3 linked regions of the Arabidopsis thaliana genome follow. The protein of the gene in region 1 interacts with the protein of each later gene in a pairwise test. Each region holds a gene or a part of one and is shown in the gene's direction. Other genes may lie near its edges. The genes, in order: AT2G01175, AAP5 and PIP1C.

The links.
Region 2: the proteins of AT2G01175 (region 1) and AAP5 interact in a protein complementation assay, tested with the Arabidopsis thaliana proteins (one large-scale study listed by BioGRID).
Region 3: the proteins of AT2G01175 (region 1) and PIP1C interact in a protein complementation assay, tested with the Arabidopsis thaliana proteins (one large-scale study listed by BioGRID).

Annotation. Positions count from the first base shown.
Region 1 is NC_003071.7:104,439-108,195, reverse strand, and holds AT2G01175 (uncharacterized protein), read left to right. Parts: upstream 1-1,904; 5' UTR 1,905-2,124; intron 2,125-2,400; 5' UTR 2,401-2,435; coding exon 2,436-2,624; 3' UTR 2,625-3,312; downstream 3,313-3,757. Other genes in the region: PAP1 (phosphatidic acid phosphatase 1), read left to right, coding at 82-1,014; BAT1 (bidirectional amino acid transporter 1), read left to right, coding at 3,734-3,757.
Region 2 is NC_003070.9:16,765,960-16,769,716, reverse strand, and holds the start of AAP5 (amino acid permease 5), read left to right. Parts: upstream 1-2,031; 5' UTR 2,032-2,493; coding exon 2,494-2,581; intron 2,582-2,997; coding exon 2,998-3,231; intron 3,232-3,278; exon of another isoform or gene 3,279-3,458; intron 3,459-3,532; coding exon 3,533-3,626; intron 3,627-3,757. UniProt on the Arabidopsis thaliana protein: Amino acid-proton symporter. Stereospecific transporter with a broad specificity for glutamate and both neutral and basic amino acids. Reduced affinities for asparagine and valine.
Region 3 is NC_003070.9:225,443-229,199, reverse strand, and holds PIP1C (plasma membrane intrinsic protein 1C), read left to right. Parts: upstream 1-1,656; 5' UTR 1,657-2,023; coding exon 2,024-2,351; intron 2,352-2,508; coding exon 2,509-2,804; intron 2,805-2,888; coding exon 2,889-3,029; intron 3,030-3,118; coding exon 3,119-3,214; 3' UTR 3,215-3,535; downstream 3,536-3,757. UniProt on the Arabidopsis thaliana protein: Water channel required to facilitate the transport of water across cell membrane. Its function is impaired by Hg(2+).

The DNA of each region.
Region 1 (3,757 bases):
GAGAGCCATTCTTTGTTTGTTTAGATCCAATTAGAAGAAGGTTTAGTTGACTGTGATGATTGTTTGTGTTTTTGGTGGCAGGACCAGGAGGCGCAGAGAGGGAGGATGCAGGAGATAGATCTTAGTGTTCACACTATAAAGTCCCATGGAGGAAGAGTCGCTTCTAAACACAAGCACGATTGGATCATACTCGTCATCTTGATTGCCATCGAGATAGGCTTGAACCTCATCTCTCCTTTCTACCGCTACGTGGGAAAAGACATGATGACTGACCTCAAGTACCCTTTCAAGGACAACACCGTACCTATCTGGTCTGTCCCTGTGTACGCTGTGCTTCTTCCCATCATAGTGTTCGTCTGCTTCTACCTGAAGAGGACATGTGTGTACGATCTGCACCACAGCATCCTCGGGCTGCTCTTCGCCGTCTTGATAACTGGTGTCATCACTGACTCCATCAAGGTAGCCACCGGACGCCCTCGTCCTAACTTCTACTGGCGCTGCTTCCCCGACGGCAAAGAGCTGTATGATGCGTTGGGAGGTGTGGTATGCCACGGCAAGGCAGCTGAGGTCAAGGAAGGCCACAAGAGCTTCCCGAGCGGACACACTTCCTGGTCCTTTGCGGGGCTTACATTCCTTTCCCTTTACCTCTCTGGCAAAATCAAGGCCTTCAACAATGAAGGACATGTGGCGAAACTCTGCCTCGTGATCTTCCCTCTGCTTGCCGCTTGTCTTGTGGGGATATCTCGTGTGGATGACTACTGGCACCACTGGCAAGATGTCTTCGCAGGAGCTCTCATTGGCACCCTTGTAGCCGCCTTCTGCTACCGTCAGTTCTACCCCAACCCTTACCACGAAGAAGGATGGGGTCCCTACGCCTATTTCAAGGCAGCTCAAGAACGAGGAGTCCCTGTGACCTCCTCCCAAAACGGAGATGCCTTGAGGGCTATGTCTCTGCAGATGGATTCAACATCTCTCGAAAACATGGAATCTGGCACTTCCACCGCTCCCAGATGATCCTCCTCTCTTATTATTTGATTCATTATTTGGTTTTTCATTTTGATTTGGCCGTCGTCGTGAGATTGTGAATGGTGTAGCTACATACTGTATGTGTATTCAAAACTCTACTTGTACCATTACATTTTTGTAAATCCACTCTTCATGAAATTGACGTTTTTCTGGTGTCCGAGAGGCTTGGGTCGCTCGAATAATCTCGTCCAATAGACTAATACGGCTCTAGTGAACACGGTATTTACATGTTTGTGATCTAAACTGAAATCAGTTATTTCTTAATTCGTAATCATTCTTGGGTTAACATTTTCTCTTATAATCTGATGGTTGAAGATGGCAAAGCCATTGTTAGCATAGCCATAGCTGGTTCAATCATCCACAACACTAAATTACTCGAGCTCTCCACATGCGTAATCTCTCTTTCTCTCTATTTCTCCCTTCGTTTCTCTCATTCTTCTTCTTCTTTTAATTTCTGGGTAGCTATTATTTTAGTGTAGAACAAAGTTTGACACTTGTGCTTACGCACATGCGCTGCCAACTATGCTGCAGGTATTAAATCAGTTCTGAAAATATTGAAGCACAACTGGAAACCGTTTCTTTTGTGCACTCAAGATATTAAAATGGTTCTCTGTTTCTGAAAATATTGGAACAGAACTGAAAACTGTGTTTTTGTCATGCTAGCGTATTGTTATATTGTGTTTTATTGAGCAAATGATGATACTAGCAATTCAAATTTCATCTCTTCTCTTTGTTATTATGAATTTCATGCTTGTATTGGAAGACATTATTTTGCAAAAATTTGATTTTTGTTTACTCAAGGACCCATTGTTTCTTAACCATTGGAGTAGAAATTTGTTAAAGACTCTTATTAGTTTCTTAACTTACAAAAAGCAAAATTTTAATAAAAAAAAAAAAGTTAAGGATCATGGTTAAGGACCTAACCAATGGGGATGGTCTTAGCTTCTGATCTCACTGGTCTTTGTTCGATTGAATCAATCCAAGTTTCGTAAGTGGTGATGGTAGGTAATCGGAGCAGCAGCGCATGTAACCATCGGCAGTTGTCGAAAGCTTGTATAGTCACATACCTCCCTCATCGTCTCTTCTCAGTGTCGCCAGGTAAATCTTCTCAATCGTTTCTTTTGTATATTACTCATAGAGTCGTGCGCTGTCTCTCCCTGAGAAGGTTCAATCGATTTCTTCCGATTGATGATTGATGTATCATAATCAGAACAAAGGTTATATTTCTGAATTGGATGTGTCTCTGAAATTATAGCGGATGTTGTATGTATGGGAACACAAGAGACCAATGATGATGCTAATGTTTGATTGTCATCATTGATTAAGTGAACTAATCAAGCAGAACCATGATTTGTTTTACTTTGTTGGTGCTAGTGGTTTGGGGCTATCTCTGTTTCTAATTCGTATATATGTTATGGAGGTTAAGAGGACTCTTCAAGCTTTATGGGCACTTGGGTTTCTTGGTTCTTTGGCTACTTGTGCAGCCCTTGCTAGACCAGCCGGTGATAACTTGGTTCATTATGTCGTTGATCATCCATCTGCTGTTTGGTTTGTTGGTCCCCTTTTTCAAAGAAGGTAAATATCTTGCTTCTGCATAAGGCTTCAGATAATGATTTATTGTTCTTAATCAATGAGCATATATGATTTATGTTTGTGGTCTACGAAATTAGTGTATTTTTAGATGTGTTATGTAATGTTGAACAACATCACTAGATTTGTTTTGTGTGTCTCATGTTAGAGGATTTTTGGCTTCGGTTTGTTTGTTTCTTTCTTCTGAAACACTTTTGTGTCAAGTCTTTAATCTTCTCTGTCTCTCTAATGTTATGAAGAAGGAGAGTTCAAAGATTGTGGTTATATAATGTTTTAGCATTACGAGTGGTTAACAAGAGTTAGTTAATGTGTTATAAATTCTGTTGCACGGATGAGAGTCTGATAAAATGGAATTCAAATCAGAGAAACCAGGTTCAGTTTTTCCTCTCAATATTGCATCAAATCTTTTTTAGTTTGTTTTGGATAGCAAATCTTTGATTGTTAGTCTCGAGACTAACATGATTTTGTGGATCGTGGTAACATAACCACAAAGTTGTCTATTTTATGATTTGAACATTCTACACAGTCATCCTCATCAGTGGCAAATTAACCAGGTTTGTGTATCAAAGAGTAGGCCATGTTCTGAGTATCTTCAAGAAGAGGATGATGTTTTTTTGTATAGTTTTTGTCTTTGATATGTTTTCAAATGAATCTTGTATACTTTGTCATATTTATTGTCATGAATCTTTGTTATTCAAAATGTGTTTATCAAAAATGTATCAAATTTTTTGTATAGTTTGTCTTCTCTATCTTTCTTTTCAAGCAATCTAAACTCAAATACCAAAATATTTTTTCAAATTTGTCTTTCTTAAGAATTCCTACTATTGGACATGAATATTTTTGAGAGTCCCTAAGCTAGTCCTTAGCTTTATATTTGTCAAAATTTATATTAGAAAATTCTTAAGGATTCCTTAAGGATCTTAACCATTGGGGTTGCTTATTAGTTTTTTTATATTACTTGAATTACATATTTATTTAGTTTAAAGAATAAATAATAATAAAAAGACAGTTTGGAGGGGTATGTAAAAAGTAATATAACAGAAAAATAAATATCTTGTCTGAATCAGAGAGAGAGCTCTCAACAACCAAAGCTTTGGACTCTCAGGCCAGGAAGACTATGGGATTGGGCGGCGATCAATCC
Region 2 (3,757 bases), on another chromosome or scaffold:
GGCAACTCAGCTTTAACTCCAGACACAAAATCTGGTGTCAAACACGAGATATAATTGCACATTGAATACAGCTATATCAAAGCATGAATTTTAAAAAATATATTAAGAAAAACAGATACTTTGATTTATTTTTCATCTATATATATTTTTTTTTGTCAACTTTTTCTATCAATATACTTTTCAGATGAATTATTGGTTTTCCAACAACATCGTTCTGAAAAATCAAAATGTTTTCCAACTCAAATAATAGATTAGATGTTCCAATGATTATATTAAATTTCCTATTTTTTGGTAATTCATATATGCAGAAAACTTCGGAAAACCATTGCACAGCAATAAGCATTTAAAAAAAGTGAAACCCATTCTATCAATGTTATGTTGAAAAACTTCATCTAATTGAGGTGTATTTTGCATGTTCATACAAAAACTCCAAAAATAAAATTGAAAATAATCGAGAATATTTAACATTGTTATGTAACTTCAATTTGTGAGAATTTATCAACGAAAATAGAGTATATATAATATGACCAAACTCATAACAGGCAAACACCACTTTACATAGTTTCCACTTTCATTTCCTCAAACCAACCGAAAGTTTTTAGAAACATAGTAGATATAGACAAAGAAGTCCATGGTAAACGTTAATTATTTAAATAACTATTAAATAATAAATTAATAAAATATTTACTTTATCAATTTGTTTGTAATTATGGTTGAAAACTTGCCCATCAAAATTTTAAATATATTTTCTTTTTCAAAATAATATCTAATTGCCTATGATAAATGATTCTAAAATAGTAAAGTATACCACCAAATCGTTCATTTATACTCTTTAGAAATGATATAACGACAGTGTATTTTCCAACCGAATGGTCGGTGTTTCCAGTGTATTTGAAAGAATTTAAGAGCGAGAAAGAAAAATTTATTAGCATCTCTTTATTTTTAATTCCTCGGAATTGGTTCGTTTGAGTTTAATTAATTCCGGTTGACAAAAAAAAAACAAATGATATAAGGAATTTGAAAAGTTAAATCCTCCGTCAACTTTCTCTTGACATCAAAAGTACATATAACATAATAATCAATAATAATGAAAAAACAACTATATCTCTAATTATAATTACTTTAATTTACTCAAATACTCATTAAATTAAGGACATGAATCATTGTTTTTAAATTTTAAAATTAAAATATCTATATTTTAAAGGTAAAAATCTTAAAATTTGGTTTGATGTTTAGCTTTTATGGAATTTTTAAGAATTGAGATTAATCCTAGCAATTCTAGCAATGTTATGTTGAAAAACTTCATCTAATCGAGGTGTATTTTGCATGTTCATACAAAAACTCCACAAATAAAATGGAAAATAATCGAGAATATTTAACATTGTTTTGTAACTTCAATTTGTGAGAACCTATCAACCAAAAAAGAGTATATAATGTGACCAAACTCATAACATGCAAACACCACTATACATAGTTTCCACTTTCATTTCCTCAAAACCAACCGAAAGTTTTTAGAAATATACTAGATATAGACGAAAGAAGTCCATGGTAAACGTTAATTATTTAAATAACAAATTAATAAAATATATACTTTATCAATTTGTTTATAATTATGGTTGAACACATGCCCATGTTAAATATATTTTGTTTTTTTTGAGTAATGCCTATGATAAATGATTCTAAAATATTAATATAAGTATACCACCAAATCGTTCATTTACAAATGATATAACGAATTTCAAAAGTTAAATCTTCCTTCAACTTTCTCTTGACATCAAAAGTACATATAACATAATAATCAATAATAATAAAAACTACTATATCTCTAATTATATATTTTCTTAAATTACTTTGATTTACTCAAATACTCTTAAATTATAAGGACATGAATCATTGTTTCTAAAATTTAAAATTAAAATATCTATATTTTAAAGGTAAAAATCTTAAAATTTAGTTTGATTGTTTAGCTTATATGTAATTTATAAGATTTGACATTTTGCACTTGTTGTCACTAATGTATAACAATGAAACCATTTTCTCATAAAAAGATAAACTATTTTTGTAGTCCTCACAAAAAAAAAAAAAAAAGCACATGCGGTTTCCTCTGCTTCTTCCTTCTTACAAGTTGGATGTCTCCGTCTTCCACGGTGCTTATAAATTAGTGAAACAACAAAAGCTTTGGTCAGTATTTATATTATCATGCATTTCTAATCTCTACTTTGTCAATTCCTATACTTTCACTCTCTTCCAATTATATAATCTCTGGTCCATAGAAAACATCGGTCTCTTGTCACCGTTGATTTTATTTGGTCAAAATCATTCTTCTTCTCGCTGAATAATCGTTGATTTCACTTCTTCTTCTGGTCTTAAAAAAATTCAAGATCTATACGAGAAAACACAAAACAAGTAAAACTTTTTCAACCGTTTTTCCTGTCGGTAAAGTTTGGATTCTTCTTAGTAAATTTTGGTCTTATTGTCGACCAAAAGAAGAAGATGGTCGTTCAGAATGTTCAAGATTTGGATGTTCTTCCGAAACATAGCTCGGATTCATTCGATGATGATGGTCGTCCCAAGCGAACCGGTAATTTCTCTTTTTTTCTCTAATTTTATGTTTTATGTTTCTCTAATCTGTTCAAACAAGAATCAAAGTAAATATAAAATTAGTCTCTGTTTCCTATAACCGGGGATTTGAACCCGAAACCCGGAATTTTTTTAATTCCGGGTTTCGGGATACAAACCGAAACCCGGAGTCTGTTGAACTTGCAATTTAAAACATCTACAGTAAATATATGCATAGGCTTTGTTTGTTAAGGGGTGACAAATTCCTACTTCTTTTTTTGTGTGGATGTTATGGAAAAGTATGATTTTTGTTACTAAAGTGTATGAACACTATTGTTACTACAGTTGTTGTCTTAAAATTAACGGTTAAACAAAACAGACTTTATTGTTACTACAGTTCTTGTCTTAAAATTCTGTTTGAATGTGATTGGTGTTTAGGGACGGTGTGGACAGCAAGTGCACACATAATAACAGCAGTAATTGGGTCAGGAGTGTTGTCATTGGCATGGGCCGTTGCTCAGATTGGTTGGATTGGTGGTCCAGTGGCTATGTTACTCTTTTCTTTCGTTACTTTTTACACATCTACCCTTCTCTGTTCTTGTTACCGATCTGGTGACTCTGTTACCGGCAAAAGAAACTACACTTACATGGACGCTATTCACTCCAACCTCGGTAAACAAAAAAAAAATCATTTCGGTTTCTTTTTGGTGCATATATTGGGATATTGAACCGAAGATCGACGGTTGAGATGACAAGGCCAAGATATAACAAAAAGATATTATTCTAGAAGATAAATGTTAATATTGAAGTTTAGAAAGTTTAACATTTATCTTTTAGAATAATATTTTCTTGCCGTATCTTGGCCTTGTCATTTCAACCGTTGATCTCTGTCGATCTCTGGTTCTCCATATCGGTTCCATATCCCAATAGTTATTATCATCAAAAACTTAATTCATTCTTGATTCATTTTTAGGTGGGATTAAGGTGAAAGTATGTGGAGTTGTGCAATATGTTAATCTATTTGGTACAGCAATTGGATATACAATTGCATCAGCTATAAGTTTGGTGTAAGTTAAAACTTTGCTTTCACAAAACTCTTTTTATTTTAATTGTTCACATTTGTCCAAAAAAAGTTAGATGCGTGTTTTATTTTGCTATTCAATATTGTCCATACAAGTCATTAATGTTTGGCTCAATA
Region 3 (3,757 bases), on another chromosome or scaffold:
TCTCCTGTGAGCGACGACCAGATCTTGAAATTGGTAGAGAGAAGAAAGAAGTAGGATCGATCATAAATGAAGACAGCTGCTGAGAGAAAGATTTTAAGTGTCATTCAATGCAAAGTTGGGCTGCTTTCCCCTTCAATGGCGACGCTCACCAACTACTCTCTTCCTTACAAAAATTCTACTCATTTATTGACTAATCCCAGGTCCCCGACTCTACAGGAAGAAGACGATTATATCGTATTGGGCCTTATTAGAGCCTATTGGGCTCGAGTTGATTTGTCGTAAAGACTTGGTCTGTGGTTTAATCAATCTCTCATGCCTCAAAGTGTTGACTGATTCAGAGGCCGTTTTAGTGTTTTGAGCCCACGTCAGAAGCTTGTCTGTCGTCTGTGTGTATAAAACAAAATTCAATTCACGATTTTTTAAAATATTGATCGTATCTTTTTCCACATGTATGTAAGCAATGAAGGATCTGCTTCGTTGCAAAATATTAGTTTTTCTTTTGATAGGCATGTACCAACTAAGTACCAGCTACGTACACAGACAAAGTCAGTAACAATTAAAATTCATCAACCTAGTCATTGCTTGTTCATCAATCAACCTAATCATTTGTTTGCTTGTTAAATAACAATGCCAACGTTATTATTTCTATTTCTATACTATCATACATTCATACGGTCCACGCCTCTAACAAAAAAAGATATTGATAAAATTTAAAAGATAGATAATTCGATGAAATGAATTATAATGAAATGTGATTTGTACAACTGAGAAAGGATGTCATATACGGACTTTGGTCGGGACCGCCCCAGTAAACACCACCAACACATATTTGCCTCTTCAACCACGTGTCGTGATTCTGTTGGTTGGGCAGCTAGACGACTGTGATGTGTGTGTGTGGGTTGCGTTTCGAAAAATGGCAAACCCCACCACTAGTTCAATAAAAGGTGTTTCTTAATCATATAGTTTAGCTTCGGATTATTTGTTTCCCTTTTCAGTTTTTTAAAAATCGATATCTACAATAGAGTTAATCTGTTTATAAATTCAATTATTGTTCGGGTAAGACAACATCAACAAAACTAATAGGGTTTGAATCCTAAACACTAAACTCCATTTAACTAGTAAAGTATGGCTCATATAGCGTTAAAAATATGTGAATTGATAACAACAACAGAGTTTTGAATTTTATTTTTGTTAGGTTTGAATAGATTGATAGAAAAAGGAAAGTGGGAATAGGGAAACGAACATGTGATCACAGAAAAGCAAAATCCATTTCTGAGCTGGAAACCCCCGCAAAATTGAACCTTATCTCCAATTTTCATTTTCTTTTTTTCTAAAATATATATCGTTTAATTGAAAAACCTCAAATTCACAATCATTGTGATTATTTTGTCACTAGTAGTACACATAGTAATTTAATTAAACATTTTAAAAATACTCTAGGCCCGGCACAATGTTCGAGACTATGTTACTTTACATAAAGCAATCGCTTTCCACACACTTCTTTTCCTTTTCTTCTCCAACGGTCGGAAGTAAATTATTAATTCGTCGACTAGTCAAAAAGTTAGTCCTTTGTGAGTTTTCTGGCACTGTAATATTTTTTTTTACATTTCTAACTGCTGACTGAGTAGTACTCCTGTAGCAAGGCATTTGAGAATAAATTAGGTCAAACATGCTATCTTTATAAGGAGTTTCAGAATATAATACTAATAGTTAGCCAACGCAACAGAATTAGTATAAGCGTGGGTTGTGTTACATGATTAAACATCATCAAGTAGTAGGCTATTACAATTATTAACGTAAATAAATATGCTTTTACGAAGATCATCGTTATCCATGATTCCCTGTATTTCTCATTATTTAAATATATCATAATAGTTTCGAGACGTTAGTTTTTTTTGCTTTTTCTATTCTCTCTCTCTCTCGCCTCTATAAAACCATTCTTTCTCTATCTCAGCCACTCTCATTACCCATTGTAGAAAAGAAGAAAAAAAGCAAAGAACACTTGAACGTTTTCTAGATAGAGATGGAAGGGAAAGAAGAGGATGTTCGAGTGGGAGCTAACAAGTTCCCGGAGAGGCAACCGATAGGTACATCGGCTCAGACGGACAAAGACTACAAGGAGCCACCACCAGCTCCATTTTTCGAGCCAGGCGAGCTGAGTTCGTGGTCCTTCTACAGAGCCGGAATCGCCGAGTTCATAGCCACCTTCCTGTTTCTATACATAACAGTATTGACAGTGATGGGAGTGAAGAGAGCACCAAACATGTGTGCCTCTGTTGGAATCCAAGGCATTGCTTGGGCTTTCGGTGGCATGATCTTTGCCCTTGTCTACTGTACTGCTGGAATCTCTGGTAACCCCATTTTTTTTATCTTCTTAATACAAGTAGAATTGGTCTTTTGTTGCATGCTTCAAACCCTTGTAGCTCTGCTTTTAGTTTTCGATTTTTCTCAAAGAGATCTTAATTTAGAGTTGATTCTGATGAGTGTGTGTGTGTGTGTGTTTCACAGGTGGGCACATAAACCCAGCGGTGACATTTGGTCTGTTCTTGGCTCGTAAGCTGTCATTGACGAGAGCTGTCTTTTACATCGTGATGCAATGTCTCGGAGCCATCTGCGGCGCCGGAGTTGTCAAAGGCTTCCAGCCAAATCCTTACCAAACTCTCGGCGGAGGAGCCAACACAGTCGCTCACGGCTACACTAAGGGCTCTGGTTTGGGTGCTGAGATAATCGGAACCTTCGTCCTTGTCTACACGGTCTTCTCCGCCACTGACGCCAAGAGAAGCGCTCGTGACTCCCACGTTCCGGTATAATTTTGTTTTGATTCCTCTTAATTTATTGTTTTGGGTGTTTAGAAAAAGATTCATAATTTAGGGTTATTTTTTTTGCAGATTTTGGCACCACTCCCAATCGGATTCGCTGTGTTCTTGGTTCACTTGGCGACGATTCCAATCACCGGAACAGGAATTAACCCAGCTAGGAGTCTTGGAGCTGCAATCATCTACAACAAGGACCACGCTTGGGACGACCACGTGAGTACCCCATTACATCATTTGGTTGATTTGTCTTTCTATATGTCTTTGTCACTTTGGTTTGATTGTGGTTTGATTGTGGTTTGCAGTGGATATTCTGGGTCGGACCATTCATTGGAGCAGCTCTTGCGGCTCTTTACCACCAACTTGTCATCAGAGCCATTCCATTCAAGTCCAGATCCTGATTTGATTTCTTTCTTTATAAAACTTCATTGTTGCATCTTGGTTTGTAATTGAGCTTGAAAATATTTGAGAGATCTGGATCATGTGTTTATTTTAATTAATGGACTTGTCTTTTTCTTATTTGCTGTGGATGATCTGGTTTTATCGTTAAATGGAGTTTGATATTATGATTGATTTGGTACGATTTTAATTTTGCTTTTGTCGTTAGACTCGAGAAATTTTCAAGAGGAATTTGTTAATTTGATTTTCTTCTGGTTTGGTTCGGTACAAATTGAGTAAGATCCATATTGTTTCGGCTTGGTTTCTCGGGTCATCGACTCAACTAGTTTACGTGGTATTTAGCCCATATTTACATTGGGCCTCTTGCGCACTCTTTATGGGCCACGTTAACCAAGTGGGTATTAAGCCCATTTACATTGGGCCTTTTTCGCACTCTTTATGGATACAACTAGTATCCCATAATATGTCCATCAACGGCATCACTCCACCTTAATTTGTTGCGATAGATAGCCAACCAAGTTGAGATAAAACATTCTTACTTATTC